Linked DNA regions of Coturnix japonica. The protein of the gene in region 2 binds, or shares a complex with, the protein of the main gene of each other region. Links are inferred from orthologs where the notes say so. Each region holds a gene or a part of one and is shown on either strand. Other genes may lie near its edges.

Region 1 (9,859 bases), about 4.0 Mb from region 2:
CTAATGATCCACAGGATCACAGCTATATGTAAACAGCAAGTGGTACTTGCCAGGACAGTTGATGATGCCATCCATTGGAATGAAAATGATTTCAGATGCTGCCACTGCAAGCATATTTTGAACCTATATTTCCCTTCCTTCCAAGTTTTACTTACAGACTTAGCAAAAAATGGAGTTTACCACCTCTAAAACAACAATTTACCCTTGCTGCCTTTGTCTCTATTTCTCTCTCACTTCTAATTGCGTGATTCAACTTCCTGCTTGTGCCAGTCCAGATGCTTGACACACCCTATGCCAAATTTCTTAACATGGCAGAAGCCTATTCAATTTTTGATGGATTGTTCTTCTGCTACTTCAGTGACTCATATCTACTCTCAAGGAATGGCACAGCCAGCATGAGGTAGGAGGTTGCGTAGCCAGCAGTAAAGATAGAAGAACAAAAACTGAAGAAAGAGCTGGATCCTCCCCCTTTTCAGCATCAATGAACTCTCCATGTCCCATGGAATTGTATCTTCTGATCAGATTTTTGGCAAACCTTTGGGCAAAGAAGACAGAAGAGAAACTGCAAGGAACAAGGTTTGAGTGAGTAGATGTGTTTAGATAATACTTTGGTTTGAAGAAGCTGTTTCCAAATCACTCAAATCAGCAGTTGATCCCAGAGAAAGAGAAGAATGGCAAAGCCAAATGCAGCTGTGTCATTCATACTGCATGGGTGAAAAATGGTTCCGCAATGTGGAAACAACTTCTCATTGGTAGGGCGGTACACTTAGGGCCACAAAGGAGTTAAAAGCAGACTCCTGTCACAGAATCATAGCTATTAATTACTTTATCTGTGAAGGGCAAACAAACACACTTATTTACGTCTTCATTTTCATGGTCCAATGGATCCACAGAGAGAGTTCCACAGTGAAGGTCTTCAGCAAGTGGTCAGAGCAAAGATGTGCCCAAACACTACAGTCCTGAAATCATGGGGGCAGTGAACTGTGGGGCATTACCATCACTCCTTCCATTTCTCTATGTTCTGTGTCACTTCTCCTATTTTAGAGATGTTTTTATGCTGAGCACAATTTCTAAATGTACTCATGGAAGATATACAAAACGTGGGATAAGTCTGCGATAACTGAGAGGAATATGCGTAATTAAAAGAGTTACAGAGGCAAAGGTACCTTACCTCTATTGGACGTCAGTGGATTCAGTCTTCAAATCAATGCTTGTTCTGTACATATTTTTCCCTGAGATATTTTTTGACATTTTTAAAAATGAAAAATTACAAGCCTAAAAGGGTATGTTCTCTTCAGAGGAGCTCTTTAAGGATCTTGCATGCAGCAGCTGATATTTCAAGCTGTTGAATTAGTAGTTCTGGGTTCCCTTTTGTACTTGCCTGTGCCAAAATGCGATTAGTTGTTTCAGCCCACTCATACCCTTGGTTTGAGATGTCTGTGCATTAAGTTAGAAAGGAAACAGTCATGTGGTTCAGGTCCAATATTTGATCTGCATTATAATTGTTAACATTTCTTTCCTACATGTTGCCAGGAGATTTTAAAGCGTTGAGTTCTCATTTTGAAGTGCTTTCTCATTCTGTATTTTATTCTCTGGAGACAGACAAGACACCAAAGCCCTGTATGTCAGGAACTGGGGGAAGAAAGGGAAACAGGTGCTGACATTTGGCTTCAAACTATTCAAAGCAAAAGGAAACTCCAGCCTGGAGCAGGAGATGCAGACTTACAGTCATTGTCCTGACTGGAATCTCAGTAACATGGGCAAGAGATTGTGAAATAGTCCTTGCTGAAATTAATAACAGCTGTAAATGACAAAAGATTTTGTACCTAGGCTAAGGGTGCCAAACATACAGAAAAAATATCCAGGATTTGACCAGTACTATTATATACTTGGAATAATGCTCTCCCAAAGGAGCGATTGTGGCAGCTAATGAGGGTCTGAGTCAGCTGCTACAGTAGGTCTAAGTGTGGCAAACACAACATGTAGTATCTGTTGCAGACTTCAGTATTTCCCCTTTCTTTCTGGATTTTACACGTTATTGTTTAACTACCATAACTCTTGGAGGAAACTGGGATAAGTGTGTGTCAGATATAGTGTGTGAGGAAAGCCAAGCCCAAATACTGCTGAGATTGATGGGAAGATGATAAAATAAAGTGGCCTGAGTGAAATGACTCTTACTATTTCATGTTCACAATGGCTCAGATCTACACAAAAACTGCTGTAGAAATACAAGAGTCTCAAATTTCCACAGCAAGCAAAATGTATTTCAAAGATGAATGTTGTCCATATTTTGGGCATGGGCTGGGCATGAAAATCTGAATGAGTGGAAAATCAGTTTTTAAAGCATTCATTAGGGGAATCTTGTGAAGACTTTGAACTAACATTCATTTTTTATAAATACATCAGCATTTGTAGAATTGCTCTGCATGTCCTGTGATGAATCAGGTGATCTGGAAAATGACACAGGGAATCTAATCCTTGGGCACAACACTGAAGAACATAAAATTTCACGCTGAGACGATGAGAGAAGTAATAAGCAAGCTCTGTGTTTGTCAAACAATGTATTTTGTTCTTCAGTTTCAAATACATCTACCACAACAGATCAACAACCAGCAAAGACGAAGGTTTTGTGTTTGGAGACATTGAAGGAACAAGAAAGGGGATTGCATCACAGTGAAAGATAATGGCCTTTCCTTCTGTTACTGTTACATTCTCTAGATTAGGCTTTTGCACTGTTATCACTCAAACTTCAGTTATCTGCTTGAGAGGAAACAAATCCACATTACCCATGTAGTCAAAACACATACTTGGAAGTACTCAGTTACTTTAATAAACTGTTCAAGTCTATAGGTAACCATTTGGAGGGATCAACTTTGTTAGAGAGCATAATCAGCTGTTTTCCCAAGAGACTAACACTGTACGCTCTGTTGGGTATATATTATACCCTATATTATACCCTCTTTACTCTGAGCTACGCACAATATAAACAGTATAAACAAATAGCGCCTACTGCGGGGAAGACAGTGCTTTGGTTCTAGGAATTTCCTTAAAACATTAGTTCCTATGAGTATATGGTTGCATCTTGTTGGTATGCTCATATTTGCATTTTCTCCACTTCCACAATCATTTGTTCAGAAGAACTGCGCATTGCAAGTACATCTGCTAAAATACACGGCTATATTTAAACTGCGTTTTATTTAATATCGCTGAGAATATTTTAGCTGTTTCAAGAGTGACGATATTTAGAATAAAATGTTCTTTCACTTTCTGAAGCTCAGATGCAGAAATCTCTGCAATTGCTGGGAAGACTTTTTTTTTTTCTGTGAACCAGCAGATTGCTGGGGCTCGTCCAAGTCTCCCTGCCAGGACAGTGGTGCTTGTGCCTGCCGATGCCACCCGTGCCAGGTGTGTCTTCAGCGGTGGGTTCTGTCACTTTGCCATGACAGGGAGTGACACCCCAAGCATTACTGGTCCCAGCTGGGAGGGAGGGTGGTGGGTTACAGCTGCAGCCTCCATGCCTGGGATCCGTGTTTGGGTGCGATGGATGTTTTGGAGCATTAGCACCCAGGACTATGGCTGTCACTCACTGCTCTTGAAACCACGCAGTGCAGTAGTTAGTGCACTCAAAAAATCACTGCACTGCTTCACTCAGCTTTTATATGCTTTTTATTTCAGCGGGCCCGGTGACTGCTTCCCAGGGCGGAGGGCTGCCAGCTCAGGCCTGGCGCTGGGGGCCAGGGGAGGCCGCGGTGGAAGGAGGGGAGCGCCCGCCGGGCCGCTGCGCCCCGCGTCGCCACGGCGACGGCTCGGGGCTCGGCCATGGCGCAGGCGGTGAGCAGTGACGGTAAGGCCGGGCACGGGGCCTGCACAGCGGCCTGCGGGACGGAGCGCGCCTGGGAGTGGGAAGCGAGGGGCCCAGCCTTGGGTGACGGCGTGGGGCGGGGCCAGCCCTCCGCCAAGGAAAAGCGATCCCGGCTGACTCTCGGGGCTCCGGGGCTTATTTTTAGAGGGAGGCGTGTTCTGCTTCAGGAAGCGCTGCCAGAAAGTGTGATTGAAAGGCGAGAGGTAACTCCTCCCGCAAGGGTGTCCCAGCGTCGTTTCCAGAAGGTTGTGCACTCTGAGCAGCTCGTAACAGTGTCGCTTCTGAGTGCCGTCCTTTGTGTAAATAAACACGAGAACGTGGTAATAAGTCACAGATTGAGAACACTGTAACTAATAAGTTATTTCGTATTAATGAGTAAAAGCACAATTTTCTGTGAAAAACCCACAACAAAAAGTTGTGGGTAATGCTGAATGAGGAGTTTTTCTGATTGCTTGATCAATAGCTTCTAATGCATTTTTTTAGTTCGAATGTAATTTTAAAGAAGTTGAAGCGCCGTCTTGCTGAAGACACACCCTTTTGTTGATTGTTTTTTAATTACTAGAGGTAGTTTATCATCCTGTAAAGAGCTGTTCCCAGGAGACCACCACAAGTTATCTGCTAGAGGGAAACTGTGCTGTCAAGAATTCCATTCCTGGCCCTTCCTGACAGATCACAGGAAGGTGGCAAGCTGGGCTTTGATTTCCTGCCTGTAGGGAGAAGACAATGACTTGTATCTCATGGATAGTGTGAAGACAAGGCATCTAGCTTCCCTTTGGACACTCATGAGAATCCTACACTTTTATTGAGCAGATGATTTCCTTAATGCCTCATAGAGGTGTCTCATCACCAAGGCAAACTAATATTCAGTGTCTCACCGAAGTGCAGAAGCATCCCATAAGAGGAGATGGCTTATCTCCATGTCAGTTGCTCTTAGACCTCCTGCAGGTAGCAGTTAGGGGGCTGATTAGAATCCTCAAATCCTGGATTCATGCAGCAATTGTGCTTCTGACAAGCATTTTACATAAACACAAACTGCAGCTTTTACTTTGTTGTGTCTCAAAGAGAAGAACAGCATTAGTTTTATTGTCGAATAATTAGTCTTTAGGGTATTCCCCTTGGTTCTTGGTAGAACTGTAGTTCCACCTGCTTTTGTGGTAAACGTTTCCCTTAGGTCCTATTATTTTCAAGTTTGTCTTCATCAAAGTTAAAATGCTTACCTTAATGTTTAACAGATATACTGGATGTACACAAGAAAAAACAGTGTAAGGCCAAGTCTTGCAGCCTCTTTTGCATGACATTGATAATGTGTTACCCTCTAGCTTACATAATTGCGAATAAAATCTTGCATGTGTGTGAGTGCTAATATCATGCCCATGATATATGGAGCTGTATGTTTTATGCATGAATTTGTATTCCTGCATTTGTGCTTTCAACGTTATTTAATTATTTTTTTTTCTTTATTCCCATCTGATTACATTACACTGCTTCATCTTTCTCTTTTGTGTATTTGTCTGTATCTTTCTTCCCATCGTTCTGTTTCTTTCCCCTTTTTTGCTACTTAATTCCATCTGTCTGTTCTTCCATTTGTTCTCAGGTACTTTCTTTATAATTTCACAGAACGTGTCAGATTTTCTAAGTTTCCATCTCTCTGATCTCAGTGCCGATGTTACTAGAACCTGAAAGTAAAATGTCAGACCAGTAGTGCCTGAAGTAAAACTAGATGGAAGACAAGACGTATTTTTCTCCAGCTGGGATTTAAGAAATTACATGGAAGTACATAAAAGAGAATGTTCAGTGTGGCTTTATCATTATGGTAATACTGTGTATGTGATCAGTATGAGAGTTTTATACACACTGTATTCTTTGTGCTAGTTAGCACATACTTAAAATACAATTAATAAGTCATGAATTTGAATCCAAAAGGAAGTAGATGAAATATTCTGAGCTCCTGTTGCACACCTTTATACCCATACAGAACTGGACGACTGATTCTGGGTAACAAAGGTCTTCCAGAAACATAACTGATTGTGATGTGAAGACTTAAGGAGATGGTTTATAGCCATTCTCTGATGAGGATTTTCTCTGGTAAATAGTAGTGATTCTGGGGAATTTAACTTACTGCTGCAGTATGTCATTAGTCCTCACAGATCCTTTTCCCAACTTGTGAAAAACTCACAATAAGGTTGTTAGTGGAGATGGGAAAGAGTTTTTACCTCTGCTCTAGAGCCTTATGAACTCTGCTGAACTCTTTCCAAGAGATCCCCGTCTTTTTTGTACTGGGGAGCCCAATACAGACACAGTACTTCAGATGTGGCCTCACCAGGGCAGAGGGGGAGGATCACCTCCCTTGACCTGTTGGCCATGCTCTTTTTAATGTACCTTTTTGGCCACTGTCGTCTACCAGGACACCCAGGTCCCTCTCAGCAGAGCTCCTCTCCAGCAGGTCATCCCCCAACCTGTTCTGGTGAATGCAATTATTTCTCCCTAGGTGCAAGACTCTACACTTGCTTTTGTTAAACCTCATCCGGTTTCTTACTGCCCAGCTCTCCAGCCTGTCCAGGTTTCGGTGAATTCTGCCCCTGTACTCAGCATTGGTGAGGCCTCACCTCGAGTACTGTGTTCAGTTTTGGGCACCTCAGTACAAAAAATACATGGAGGTACTAGAGCAGGTCCAGATAAGGGCAACGAGGCTTGTGGAGCACTTGGAAAATCAGCCCTATGAGGAGAGGCTGAGGGAGCTGGGGCTGTTCAGTCTGGGGAAAAGGAGGCTGAGGGGAGACCTTATTGCTCTCTTCCAGTATCTGAAAGGTTCCTACAGTGAGAGAGGGGCAAGTCTCTTCTTACTGGTGACAAGTGACAGGATGAGGGGAAATGGCCTCAAGTTGTGCCAAGGTAAGTTTAGGTTGGACATTAGGAAACACTTCTTTTTTTTTTTTTTTTTTTTCTTAAGGGTGGTTCAACACTGGAATAGGCTCCCTAGGGAGGTGGTTGAGTCACCATCTCTGGGTGTGTTTAAGAGCCGTTTGGATGTGGTGCTCAGAGGTTTAAGATTGTTAGGGTAGTATGGTTAGGCTGCGGTTGGACTTGATGATCTTTGAGGTCTTTTCCAGCCTGTGTAATTCTATGATTCTATGATTCTCTGGCAGCTCCCTCAGCACCCATGGATGCACCCCATCAGGTCCCATGGATTTATGAACATTGGTGTTGCCTAGGCGCTCTTCCTTGACTAAAGCAAAATCTTCCATTCCCCAGATCCTCTCACCCTTTCCTGATTTCTTGTTCACAGCTCCAAGTAGGGTCCCAGAAGAGATCAAAGTTGGCTCTCCTAAAGCCCAAAGTAGCAATCCTACTTTTTGCTTTGCTTCTTCCACTCAGGATCTTGAACTCCACCATCTCATGATCACTACAACCCAAGCTGCCCCCCACCTTAACTTCCTTAACAAGTTAAGGTTCCTTGTTAGTGAGAATAAGGTCCAGTAACTCCCCTCCCCTTGTAGGTTTCTCTACCACCTGCATCAGAAAGTTGTTATTTGTAACCAATAGTTGCACTCACAGCTCACTTAACTAACAGGACAGTTTCAAACCTGACTCAGCAAAGTGCTTCATCTGTGTACAGCGTTGGGGAATCCCATTGAAGGTGACAATACGATGCACATGATGTTAAGTACATGAGTCCATTTAAGTGTCCTGCTGTACTGAGGATTGTAAATTGCTTTTTCTTTTTTTCTTTGTGGTTTTCAGGGGTTAAGCGTCAGCATACAAAAGTACAAAAAGCTCCAGATTAAACACTTGCAATGAACCTTCAGGCTAAAGTAGTTCAGTGGGTGAATTATCTCTAATTGTAAGAGGCAGTGTTTCTTTTGAAGAACAAATAGAACATTGGCATACATTGTTAAAATAAGTAGCTTTCATAGGGCTCAAGCAAGGAATATTTCAGGTGTAGAAGAAAACCCAAATATATGAGATCCCTTAAAAAATCAGTGTATAGTCTTACCACTTGAGGATTTAGAGATGAATACTACTTCCTTTTGTTGGCATCGCTGTGAGAAATTGTTTGAGGAGGAAAGTTGATATCTTTTATTAGGTCGTAATACAGTTTAACATGCGCCTTGACATCAGTTTGAGTTATGTTTTAATATTTGTACTTCAGACTGAAACAAAGAATAAATTGTGCCCATCTTTTATAGATCAGCACAGGCTGCAGATGTCTCATCCTCTTGGCTGTAGTCCTGCACTAGAAGTTATCTCAAATGCATGTAGAACAGGTACTTGCAGATTGGCAGATTTCTTGTTTCCATGGCACATAAAATAGCAGAAGTTCTTCAGTCTGGCTGTACATCTAACTGAATTACTGAGTACAAAATGAGCTGGTTTGCAGAAAGGCTTTAAACTTTTTTTGTCTCTCAAACAATGCCAACCAGCAGATACACAGCACTGATAGCTGGAGAACTCCCACAAAGTCTCTCTCTAGCAGTAGTTAACTTGTTATTAAGAATTTCCATATCTGCATGCTAATTTTTCTGAGATCTGAGGGTTTATTTATTTATTTATTTGCAAGCCACCTTAATTTGTGTGAGCAGGTACTGCTTTGTTGCTATTGGCAGTGGGGTTTGGCAGGGTGAAGGTGAGGGGCAGTAACTGTGGCTACCGTGTGAGTATGCAGGGACCTGGTGCAATGTGAAAGGCAGGGGCTTCCCAAACCCAAACACGGCCAGCAAGGGTTTTGAGGTTGCACTGTGTGTTGGTCCCATGGGATGTTTTTATAAGTGGCCTGTAAGGTTGAATAATATGAAGATGGTAGCAAAGATAATTCAAAAGGTTATTTGTAAAGGAAAACTCACCGATGGCTGCTGCATACAGCCATTGCTTTCAAAAACTTATCAGATTTGAAGCTTTTTGAAGAAGTTCCATCTTGGGCATCATTTCTTGGGCAGCTTGGGGGAGTGTGTAAGGCTGTGAGTGCTGGAATTGTCCCCTGTGGCTGTGTAGAGTTCAGAAGGAATGGAAGCTCTGCCTTCAGAGAGCACACATTACAACAGCACAGGCTGCTTTCTGGCCCTGTGGCAGCCTATGTTAGCTCTTACTTTTCAGCAGCAGCTGAAGGTATAGCACAACTCCCAGTGTTGCCAGGAGAGCTATATATCCTTGCAGGGCAGTTTGCCACTGGTGATGAAAGAGAATATGAGTATGGGCTAGACATAACTCTTTCATTAGCTCCCAGGTGTAGCTGGGATGAAAGATATGGAACAAATTGCAGCAGTGGAGATTAGAGTTTTTGCTAGCTCTGAGCTGCAGCAGGAGTGCTGCCTGGTACAATTGCCAGAGCTGGGAATTTAGGGATGCACAGGACGCCGCTAATGGAGATTTATGCTGAGCTTATCTCTGCCTGATGAAAAGGAAGACTGCATGAAGCTGGTATTGACTTCAAAGAAAGTGTAGCAATTATTTTTTGCAGGCTAACAAACCTCAAGTGCTGTCATTTCTTTCAGATCACTCTAGGAAGGATAATGTTAAGACTTTCCTCAAGAGAAGTAGAAGATAGTAATTGTATATTACCTGTGAATCATGTGTACAGGAAGCAGTCCACATCTATGTGAAGGTCTTTCTCCATCTCTTTCAATGTCTGGAAGCTATCTCCACATAGGACACATCTTGTTCAGAAAACAAAGATGATTTTTGTGTTAAAAGGGAAGGTTTACCCCAGTCATAGTGCAGGTCACTGTGGCAAAGTGTGTTATTTCATCGCCCTCAATGCCACTTGTACACAGTGACAGGTATTTGGCAGGTATTTGGCAACTTGTCTACAGATACCAGCTAGCAGAAGGAGTGCTTTGCTCCTACATGTAGGTTACGGTTAGCGGTATTACTCAGAGCTTGCATTTTTGGCTCATAGAGAGCTTGTCTTCATGAAGGCAAATTCAACTACCACTTGAGTAGTTGCAGAATAGATGATGAGCTTGGCTGGCTGAAATCCAGGTCAGAACTGAGACCTGTTAG
Region 2 (9,930 bases):
CTGGTAGGAGCTGTGCCCAGGGACCCAGCAGCTCCTGTCTACAGCCCCTCTCCTTGCTGCTGGAGCACCCACTCCTTTCCTCTCACTGACACCTCTCCAGCATCAGGCCAGAAGATTCAGGCCTCTCTGCTGACTCCCACTCAGCCCCTTGCATCTCATCCAAATGCCAGATGGCAAACTAACTCCAGCAGGAGCTGTGCCAGGCCCCCCTCCCTTCCTCTCTATCCTTTAAGCTACAGAAAAAAACCACGATGAAGAACCAGTGCAACTCTAGCAGTGGATGCAGACTTCAGGCTGTTGTGCTTTCCCTTGCTTCCCTAGGCTTCAGCCCCAGCTGTGTGGGATTGAGGTGGGGGATGCTAGAGAAGAGAGGAGCTGGTCTACAGCTCTCCTTGTTCCCAGCTCCAAAGCAGTTATAATTAATGGATAAAACTGAGGATGCGGCCACACTTGCTGCTGGCTGAGCACTGGCCGCCCCTTGAGCAGTTCCTTCTCTCTTCAAGGGACTTTGACACCTTCTGCTGGCTCTTGATACTCAGGAAATGCCATCATCACGGCACCAGGGCCTTTCTGTTAGCTCTGGGGTCTCCCACTGTCACTTCTGTGTTGCAGCAGGACTCTCAGCTCTGCTCCATGCAGCACAAGTCCCCTCGCTGCCGCTCAGCTCCTTGGTGGGAATGGGGAAGACAAGCCTGTTGGTAGTGCTAAGGGATCATGCTCAGAATTAGGGCTCACTGCAGCAGGTTGGGCTGTAAGGAAGGTCACTGGGATCACTGAACACTTTTGCCAGCCTTCCTTCCTGTTCCTGTGTGATGGGATGGTGCCACAGCCCTGTGGCTGCTGGTGGGATTTCCATGCGGAGGAGGGACAGGATCTGGTGAACCTTCTATTCTTGGCTGTGTTTCTTGCAGCCTTTACAGCATTCAGAGCAGGTGTGAAGCTTTTCCCTTCCCTTGCTGGGGATGAGAGCTGGTGGGAGGCTGTTTTCCAGAGCCCCATGGAGATACTTCCTTCACTTTGCATGGTCACTTGAGTTGCTTTGGGAGTCCATGATGTGCATTTCAGCTTGTGGATGCATATCATTCCCTCTCTTGCCCTAATTCCAGCCTCTCCCTGTTGTGCTGTGCTTTGATCAATGTGAAATATTTGCAACAGGGTTAGGTGCTGTGCAGGGACATGGAGCAGGGGGGGGGAATCAAGTCTGCCAGCCCAGGTGGTTTTACACTGTGAGCACCTGGGAAGTTCAAGCAAAGCAGCACAGCACCTTTCCCTCACATGGCTGCTAGACAGCAGCTCAGAGACCCAGGGGCTGCTCCAGCTGAGGGCAGTGCCCACTTTCCTTGTGGGAAAACAAAGCCCAACACAATGAGGACAATGTCAGCGCGGTCGCTGCGGCAGGAGGATGCTGATGGGGTAGGACAGCCTGGGAGCTCACTGCTGAGAGCTGCTGAGCTGATGCTGTCCTTCGGTGCCCTCTTCCCCCCTTTGCACCTCATCCCTGCCGGGGCTGCATGGCCTGGTGCCAAGGGCTGAGGAGCTGCCAGCTGCCATCGCCCTCCCTACAGTGATGGGTGGCAGAGTCCCAGCCCCCTCTTCGTGCCCTCTTGTCCTCTCTGCAGGGAAATCCGCCTGGATTCTCTTTGCAGACAGGGAGTGCTCAGCGTGGCAGGGCTGGTCTTGCTGTTGCCATCTCTGGGTGGGCTGCCGCTGTGTTTCCAGCTGGGCAGTAGAGAGAATTAAAAGCCTGAGTGAGCAGAGCAGCCAGGATGAGCCAGGAAGCATCAGCAGTGCCTCTGTCAACACTGCAGCTGAGGAAGGCAGGCAGCTCCTTAATTATTGATTGCACTTATAAATAAATGCTGGGACGGGGAAGAGAAGGTTACAGCAGAGCAAAGAGCTGCTTTGAGGCGGGGAGGAAATGTGAGAACGTGGCTGTTTTAAAGGTCAGGTGGTTTTGCATCTCCTTTCCTCTTTCTCTGTTAAACTCAGTGATATTTGAGGTGAGGACTCACCTTCCTTGGGCCAAAGTGGGCTGGGGGAAGCAGCGTGAAAGTGGGGGCAGTGAGGGAAGGGAGCGGGCAGGGAACGGCGGCTGCAATGTGGGACAAGTGAGGAGACAACAAAATTAGTAGAGCAGCAAATCCCAACCCGAGTGTAAATAATTCCTCACCATGTGAAAAGAAGGTCTACGTAGCTTCTGATTTATCTTCCTGTTCCTGGAGCTGTAACCCACGCAACCTCTGGTGTAAAGGAATGGGGCAGTGTGTGAGGGAAGGCTGGGTGAAGATCAGAGGGAGATGGAGATACCAGGACCTGTGTTAAGGACTACAATAGCAACCCCATGTCTGTGCAGCCTCAGGAATGTCGTGGTCAGCTGAGAGCATGGGGGGGGGACTTGGGGCTGAAATGGAAGCAGGGCCTCGAGAATGACAGCCCCCACAGGAGCCCTGAATGCCTGCAAGTGATGGGACTTCACAGCTTACTCTGGAGCACTCCTGCAGGAGGGACTGCAAGAGCTATGAGGGCACAGGGTGCAGTGCAGAGCTGCACTCAGCCTGCCCCAACACAACAGGACAGGCCTCCCTGCGGCCCCTCTGCAATCTCAGGGGAGACATTACATGTGGTGGGCAGCAGCAGCCCAATTGTAGCTGTGCTTACCTTCTGGGTTTTCCCAATGCTTTCCAGAGGAGCTCGGATTGCAGCCCATCAATTGCTGCTCTCAGCAAGTGGTGCAGAAACACCGGCTGTAATTGAATCACCAGAGCTGACTGCAAAGCACGGTCATCCTCACAAAGCGAGCTGGCCAGCTGTGAAGGGCAGGCAGCACAGGTGAGCTCAGGGATCCCCCCATGAAACACCTGTGCTGCTCTGGCTCGTGCCCTGCCATGAACCTGGGACTTGGCCACCAGGGCCAGGGTTGGAGAGGTGCTTTGGGCCAGGGGCTGTTCATGGCAGGCAGCATGATGCTCCCCACAGGCTTTCCTCCCTTTGTTTCCACTATTTTTTCCTTCCTCCTCAGCTGCTGTTAGGAAGGGATGTCACTGTGGTGGTTTATAAGTAGTGACCCATCTTGCTATTGAGTGTGACAGTGGTCCTCAGCTTCTGCTGGCCCCGAGGTAGCTGGACAGTCGTGGGTCACATCCAACTTGGCTCTTCCTGTTGGCTCGATGAACTGTTCAAAACACAGGCCTGCAGCAATGCCAGGAGTCCTGGGGATGTCCCTGACACATGCTGGGGATGGCCCTCGTGGGATTACACATGCAGCTGGAGAAACCCAGCCTGTGCTCACTGTTCTGCTGCCAGCTCCTCTCCTCAGCAAACCCTGAGTGACTTGTCCTATCTCTCCCTGCAGGCTGCCTTTCAGGTACTCCTGATGCCCTCCCTAGCAGGCTCTCTTTGGAGATACTCCCAATCCATCTAGGGCTCCCTACCCTGCAACCCCAGCCCTGTGCTGGGTCTGCTGCTCTATCAGAGAGCAGGACAGGGACCCATGGCTGCTAGGCTAGAGGGTTATGTAGCCTGCAGAGCCCCAGCTCTCATCCCATCTGTGCAGCTCTTCCAGCTAGGCAAGGCCTAATGTGTGTGGTTGGTCCTTCACACAAAGTCAGGTAGCTGCCTGGAATTCGGGCCGGCACTCACATGCGCCCTTCAAGGACCTTGGGGGTCCATCTGGACTTACAGAGCAGTTGCCTACTTGACAGCACCTGTTCACAGCAAAAAAAAACTCATCACTTATTAACTAGTTCCTGCTTTTCACTGTCCTGTGTGTGTGTGTGTGCATGCAGCCCGTGCTGTTTGGAGTTGCAACGCGTGCACAGAGAACTGCTTGCACCTTAGATCTCTAGTAAGGGAATGCAAGCTGCTATTTTGGCGAGAGATCTATATTTAAAACTCATGTTTCATCCCCTCCAGCTCTCCTAGCTGAGCACTGCTCTACCTACTGCTAAAATACAGAAAGATGGTGGCTATGTCCGTAGCATTGGATGCGTGTTGTCTTGTGGAATAAAAATGGCAGGAAGAGGATGTAGTCCTGTACACTGGGATTTAGGAGAATAGCATGGAATTTATTCTTTTAGGATCAGTGATGGTCCAGCACAGCCACATCTCAGAAACCAGCATTTCTACTGCAGCAGCCCATGCTACCAAACCGGTGCCTCCACACAGCTGCTCTTTGGTAGGATGAGATGCTTTCTCTCTTTCGGTTACATAGCAGGTTTTGTGCTACAGAGTTACAGCAAGATCACAACTTGGTTGTGCTGCAACCTTGTTGATGACCCATCTAAATCCCTGCAGGCTCAGAAAGAGGAAACTTTTCCTTAGTGCCTCTGCTCAGGACACCCAGGGTTTATTTCTCATGGTGGGATTGGCTCTGCCACCTTGTATCTGGGGAGCCACTCTTCCCATAGAATACAGGAGGGGGATAGCAGAGCTAGGAAGCCATGAAGCTGTGTCACTGCTGCCCACTCATCTCAGCAGGCTCCTTCCCCAGTGCTGAGAGCCCATCAGATCCTGCAGTGGAGAGGAGTCCTTCAAAAAGCCCCTGAGGACACCACCACTGCTCTGGAAGTCACTGCTGCAGCAGCCATTGGCTGGCCAGGTGAACACTGGTGGGGGCTTGACTTGCACTTTCTCTGCCTGCAGAGACATTACCTTGAAGGTCAGCACACGGATCCCTGCACATCAAGGGGTGAGGCAACAATTTACAAGGTGCCAGTAGTTTTAAAGTTGAAATTAAACAACAAAAAAAGCACAAAGGGAGGTTAAATCCATAAGGTTGCTATTGGCAAGCTCAGGCTCTGCTTTTGGAGCATGATGCAGAAGCAGCTCAGCCTCTCCTCCTCCTCACACACCTACTCTCCAGTACCAAGAGGAGGCATCATCTCTAGCAGCAGCTTTTATGAATGAGGAAGCAATCAAGAAAAGCATTTTCCCAGTAACACAGAGCATCCTTTCCCTTCCCCATACCTGGTACTGCTGTGGCTGGGATGAAACACAGCAGCTGTTCCACAACAGGCATTAACAGTATTTTTAACCGATGGCGTGAACTGTCCCAGTCATCCTGATGTCCAGGAACCTCGGCTCGCTGTCTCCTTTACTAAAAGCTCTACCTTAAACTCCCTGGATGGAAGTAATGATTAATGGAGGAGAAGGTCTATCCTCTTGCTGCAGATGTAGGGGCTGTCAGCACTATGGTGAAACGCAAGATAGTATGGAGCACCACCAACCTCATATCAATATCAGGCACTTAACCAAGTGCGAGCTCCTGCTCTTTACACAGCCACAGGTACTAAGAAAAGACGTGTAGGAGTGACACTAAGTCTTAGAATTGGGACTGGACAGCTGCTGAGATGAGGAAGGAAATCCCTCATCCTCTAAACACAATTAAATCCACCACCTTTCTCCCCTGGGTCAACTGTTGTTCATTGAGGAGAGGAGGCCGTGCTCACAGCAGTCATTTCCCACTATATCTTCTTTACTTTGCCTTATTTATGTGACAACTGAGCAACAGGCAAATATATCAGCCTGCTGAGCTTGCCCTACAAACCTAAGCTGAGAGTAGCAGCTGTGTGCAAGTGCACTGCTGTATCCCTCTGACCAAAGGGTTATTGCTGGGTCATGCACGTGAAGCTCAGTTCTGTTCCAGCCATGCAGCACTGTTAGAACCCTGCCTACCTCGGCCACCTAACAGTCTGCTCTCAGCTACCAGAAGCTTATTGTATCAGTCTACCAAATCTGCTAAAAATTCACTTCCTAGCTCATCAGCCTCACCACTGTGGGGGTACCCTTCCTCCATAGCATCAAACATCCTAACATAACTACCCTCTTTCTGCTCCTCACCCACTAACATCACTGTTCTTCCCACCCCCTAAAGCATGTAGCTATTGCCTCCTAATTCCACCACACCAGGCAGCCCTATCTGCTGCTGAAATTCATCTGTGCCAGGTTGCTGTTCTTGCTCACAGGGTGAAGCCTTTCTGTATCACTACCCAGTTGCACCTCCCTATCAGCTACCACCCATGACCTCTCTATTTAGGCCAGTTTGTAACACAAAGGTTTTCTGGCCAAGAACTCCAGGCGTCATTCTAACAATGGAAGTCTGAGGAAGCAACCTGAGAGGAAAGGATTTAAAAAGGAGCAGAAGTAAGAAATGTGTAAGAATGTGCACTCAGAGCAAAGAGGTGGAGGTCAGGATGATTCTGTTCCCTTTGTGCTTTAACAAAAAGGCCTGACTACAATACTAACCATTGCATAGGCTAGGCAAAAGGTTGTGCACACAGGCAAGAACTTCTCTTCCCATTTCTAAGTTACTGTAGCATTTTTATCAGGGACTGGTGTATCCTTTAGCAAGATGGGACTGCTTAGACTACAGCATATATTTATTTTTACAGCATATATAAGCTTTCTGGGCTTACAGGGAAAAAGGTGCGGATATGAAGAAAAACAAAACACCAACATAACATTAGAGGGATCAAACACTCTCCATCCTTTAATAACTTTGGGATACGACAGTCATGTTCTCAGAACCTCCCAGTGCTGGTCTTGTGGCAAGAACTGCACTGTTCCAGAAGCTGGTGCCTTCTGAGGCTCAATCACCATATACCCATGATGAGAACATACAGCGTTGCTCTGTCAGTGCTTTCAGGAACAGACACTGCTCAGCCCTGATGGCCAGACACCAAGTGCTCCAATGCAGTGGTTGCAGCAGGGCTCACTGTGAGAATTGTCAAACCTTCTGCACAGTATAACGTGCACTCTGCATCAAGTATCCACACAGCTTACAGCTGTCCTGCCACCAAAGCATCACACACATTTCAGAGTTTACTCTGAGCAAATTCCAGTGCAGTAGTCAGGGCTCCCTGCATGCCCTTGGCATTTCCACTGCCCTTAGCGACAACAGGAGAACCTCCTGCCTTGCCTTCCATCTGTGTACAGACAGCCACGGCCCAGTCAGCAGCGGAGAACATGGGGAGGCAATTCTGGGGAAGAGACACACACTTTGGTCTGTGGAGCACTCTGCAGCATGGAAGAAGGAACATCTTTCTCCCCTCACCCAGCCTGGACCCTCGCTACCTGGGGAAGACATGACTGAGAGGAGACTGAGCTTACGTGTTAGCTCTACATCCTACCACTGGGCAAACATGTCTTGGATGACCCAGGGATATTGGTGCCCAGCAAAAACTGAAAGATTATCTGGCCCCAGTACAGTCATCTTGGGTCATTCCTCAACATAACTCATCAGTGACACTGGGTAGAAACCCAAGAAAAAATTCAGCTGGGACCTAGTGAGTAGTGTACCCAGTCCTCCTCTGCAGGAAGGCTTCCCTGGGATTCTGCCAGGGTTCTGCTTACCTTGGACACCTGACAGGCACAGAGCACCTCCCCAGAATCCTGAGGGCTGAGCAGCAGGACTGATGTGCCAGGTGACTTGTCACAAAGCTGGTTCACTACCTTCATTAGGATCTAAGAGAGGAAGGAAAAGGCAGAGTCAGGAGACTGCTGCGTAGCTACCATTGGCTGCATCCAGCATCTTAAGTATTGCTGGGCCAACAAATAATGTGCTTTACTTACAGACAGGGAGTCTGCTGGGACAGTATCAATAATGACAGGTTGGTTGCAGTGTTTTGCTAGCAGGCTTTGTGCCTTCTCTTCAGCCTGGAGGAAGAAACACACAGCACTTGAAGGGCTACAGGTGGCACAGGGTGACCGGGAGGGGTATATAAGTTGCAACACACGTATACAGGGAATGCAAGTGCTGTTCTGTACGACAGGGGAGATTTATGTTAGCATATGTCTGGAGACCTGTACAATCCTCCTGCCTCAAAAGCAAGCAGATTTCAGAAGGGACAGTGACACGTTCAGTTCTCAGACTCTCTCCCTGGCCTCTGCACTGCCACATGTATCAAGGTAGGTTTCCATGGCAGGATACTGCTATTTTAAGTAAAGGATAGATCATACTGAGAACATTAAGTCTGCAATATGAATTTCATAAGGTTTTTTAATATAATCATGTAAATTAATAACAGATTCAGAAGGAAATCAGCAACATCCATATGCATGGGAGAAAGGCTCTTCTGCCACTCTACCACATGATCTTGTCAAGACCATTTACAGGGCAATGTCATCTTCTCCATCCATTAGCAAGTAGGCAATGCATATCTATCTACCTGTTGGTATTTGTTAGAAGCCCTGTCCTCACTGGTAGACAGACACCAGGATTTTGCACATACAGAAATGCAGTCAAGTCACTGCACATTATAAACAGCAGTCCTGTCAGTGAAATCAACTCAACACAAGGCTTACACTGCGCTGTGTGACTGCATCCACTTCCCCCTGCCTTTTGATGAGACTCCAGACACTGAATTGCAGTGAACTGTGACAACAACATGAGGTTCAGTGGTGGACACTATGCAGTGCTATTAGCAAGCTACAGTGAGTGCGCTGCCGTCACACTACCTGCTGCACCTCCAGTTTCTTGATGGCCGTGTTGGCGGTTCGCTGCAGCAATTTGAGGATGCTCTGTAGTTCTTTTCGTTGCCACTGGGGCATTGCAGTGCTAGCCACCACCTGCAAGACAGTCTTCTTTATAAAGATACTGAATTGTACCTAGAAATAAAATGCTTGCTCTCTGGAAGCTCAGAGTGGAGCCTGTTCTCTTTCCAGACCTTCCTATGCACATACCTGATCATGCCAGTCACTCACTGCAGCAATTTTTCAGCTAGGCATCTAAAACCTTGGGGAAAGCCTGGAAACCCCTTTTTACTGTTTAACTCTCCCCACTGCTGCCTCCTCTGGGAGGAAAGGCACCAAGATACTAGCTGAAATCTTTATGAACAAAGAGGCACCTGCAAGTAGCAACTCCTTTCTACTGACTATGGTAGTATGTGAACATCCTAAGGAAGTCATGTTGCCTCAAGAGCCTGCCAATGCTGGGGTCTTTCTGGATGGAATGTAATCCTTACTTTGGTTAACTGTCCCACTTCTTTGGAGAGGTTCTGCATCTCAAGAACAGAGGCGCTCCCCCTCTGCTTCATCCGTATTGAGACAGAGTCCACTTCCATAGCCAAACACTGACCTACTTCTCGGGCCTAGAGAAAGGGAGAGAGAAAATGTTTCAGATGCAGCAACAGAAAAAAAATCAATCAGGGATGGAGAAAAGAGGGAGGTGGCACTGAAGTGCTGCTAAGTATCCAGTGGGAAGACACCTACAGTCAAGCTTTAAGAATGACTGTCCCCAAGAGACTCTGGAATAGAGAGTTCCTCTCTAGATCTGAAGCCAATACTAGATGGTCACACCTGCAGGACAAAGCTGTCACGTAGCTATGTTTCTTCAGCAAAAAGTCCTCATCAAGGACAACAATGACCTCACAGGAACAATAATAGGTTGCTTACTTTTTTTTATACAGACCCAATCAGATCAGAACTACAGTTTGGCAAGAAAGAGACTATAGGGAGAAGAAAAAAGTCTGTAAGAATGAGGGCAGAACCCTGTAGTCATAAAACACGTGTCCAGCTGTGATAGGTAGGAGGTAAAACCAAAGCTCAAAGGATCACACCTTCAAATACCTGCCCAGTGATTGAAATTTCTAGCCCAGAAGTTTCCTGACACTCTGTGCCAAATTTCTATCTTGGAAAAGGGGGTCTGAGGGAAAGAATGAAGGTCAAGGAGACAGACGTCTTAGGGCAGCTGGGGAGTGGATGTGAACAGTGAGGGAAAGCAGCAGAACTGTGTCCCAGGGTAAAAGAGGAAGTGAGATCAGACATAGTAGTGAAGCTCCAGCACAAGCACAAGAAAGTTAATTGCCTAAACAGGAGCCTACAAAGTTGGATTTGGCTGAAATCTCGGTTTTTCCTTTCTTACCTGTTTGGCTTGTCTCCCCGTCACTGCAATGACACGACTAATCCCTTTCACAAGCTGACGTTCATTGACAA

Evidence for each region.
Region 1: TCTE1 (region 2) and EFCAB2 share a complex: the UniProt entries of both Homo sapiens proteins name them as parts of the nexin-dynein regulatory complex. The link is inferred for Coturnix japonica from reciprocal best matches to the Homo sapiens genes DRC5 and DRC8.

Annotation. Positions count from the first base shown.
Region 1 is NC_029518.1:31,172,968-31,182,826, reverse strand, and holds the start of EFCAB2 (dynein regulatory complex protein 8), read left to right. Parts: upstream 1-3,492; 5' UTR 3,493-3,819; coding exon 3,820-3,844; intron 3,845-4,043; exon of another isoform or gene 4,044-4,065; intron 4,066-9,859. UniProt on the Homo sapiens protein: Component of the nexin-dynein regulatory complex (N-DRC), a key regulator of ciliary/flagellar motility which maintains the alignment and integrity of the distal axoneme and regulates microtubule sliding in motile axonemes.
Region 2 is NC_029518.1:27,139,400-27,149,329, reverse strand, and holds the start of TCTE1 (dynein regulatory complex subunit 5), read right to left. Parts: upstream 6,233-9,930; 5' UTR 1-6,232. Other genes in the region: AARS2 (alanine--tRNA ligase, mitochondrial), read right to left, coding at 6,813-6,977, 7,351-7,461, 7,570-7,653, 8,455-8,565, 8,961-9,086, 9,860-9,930. UniProt on the Homo sapiens protein: Component of the nexin-dynein regulatory complex (N-DRC) a key regulator of ciliary/flagellar motility which maintains the alignment and integrity of the distal axoneme and regulates microtubule sliding in motile axonemes.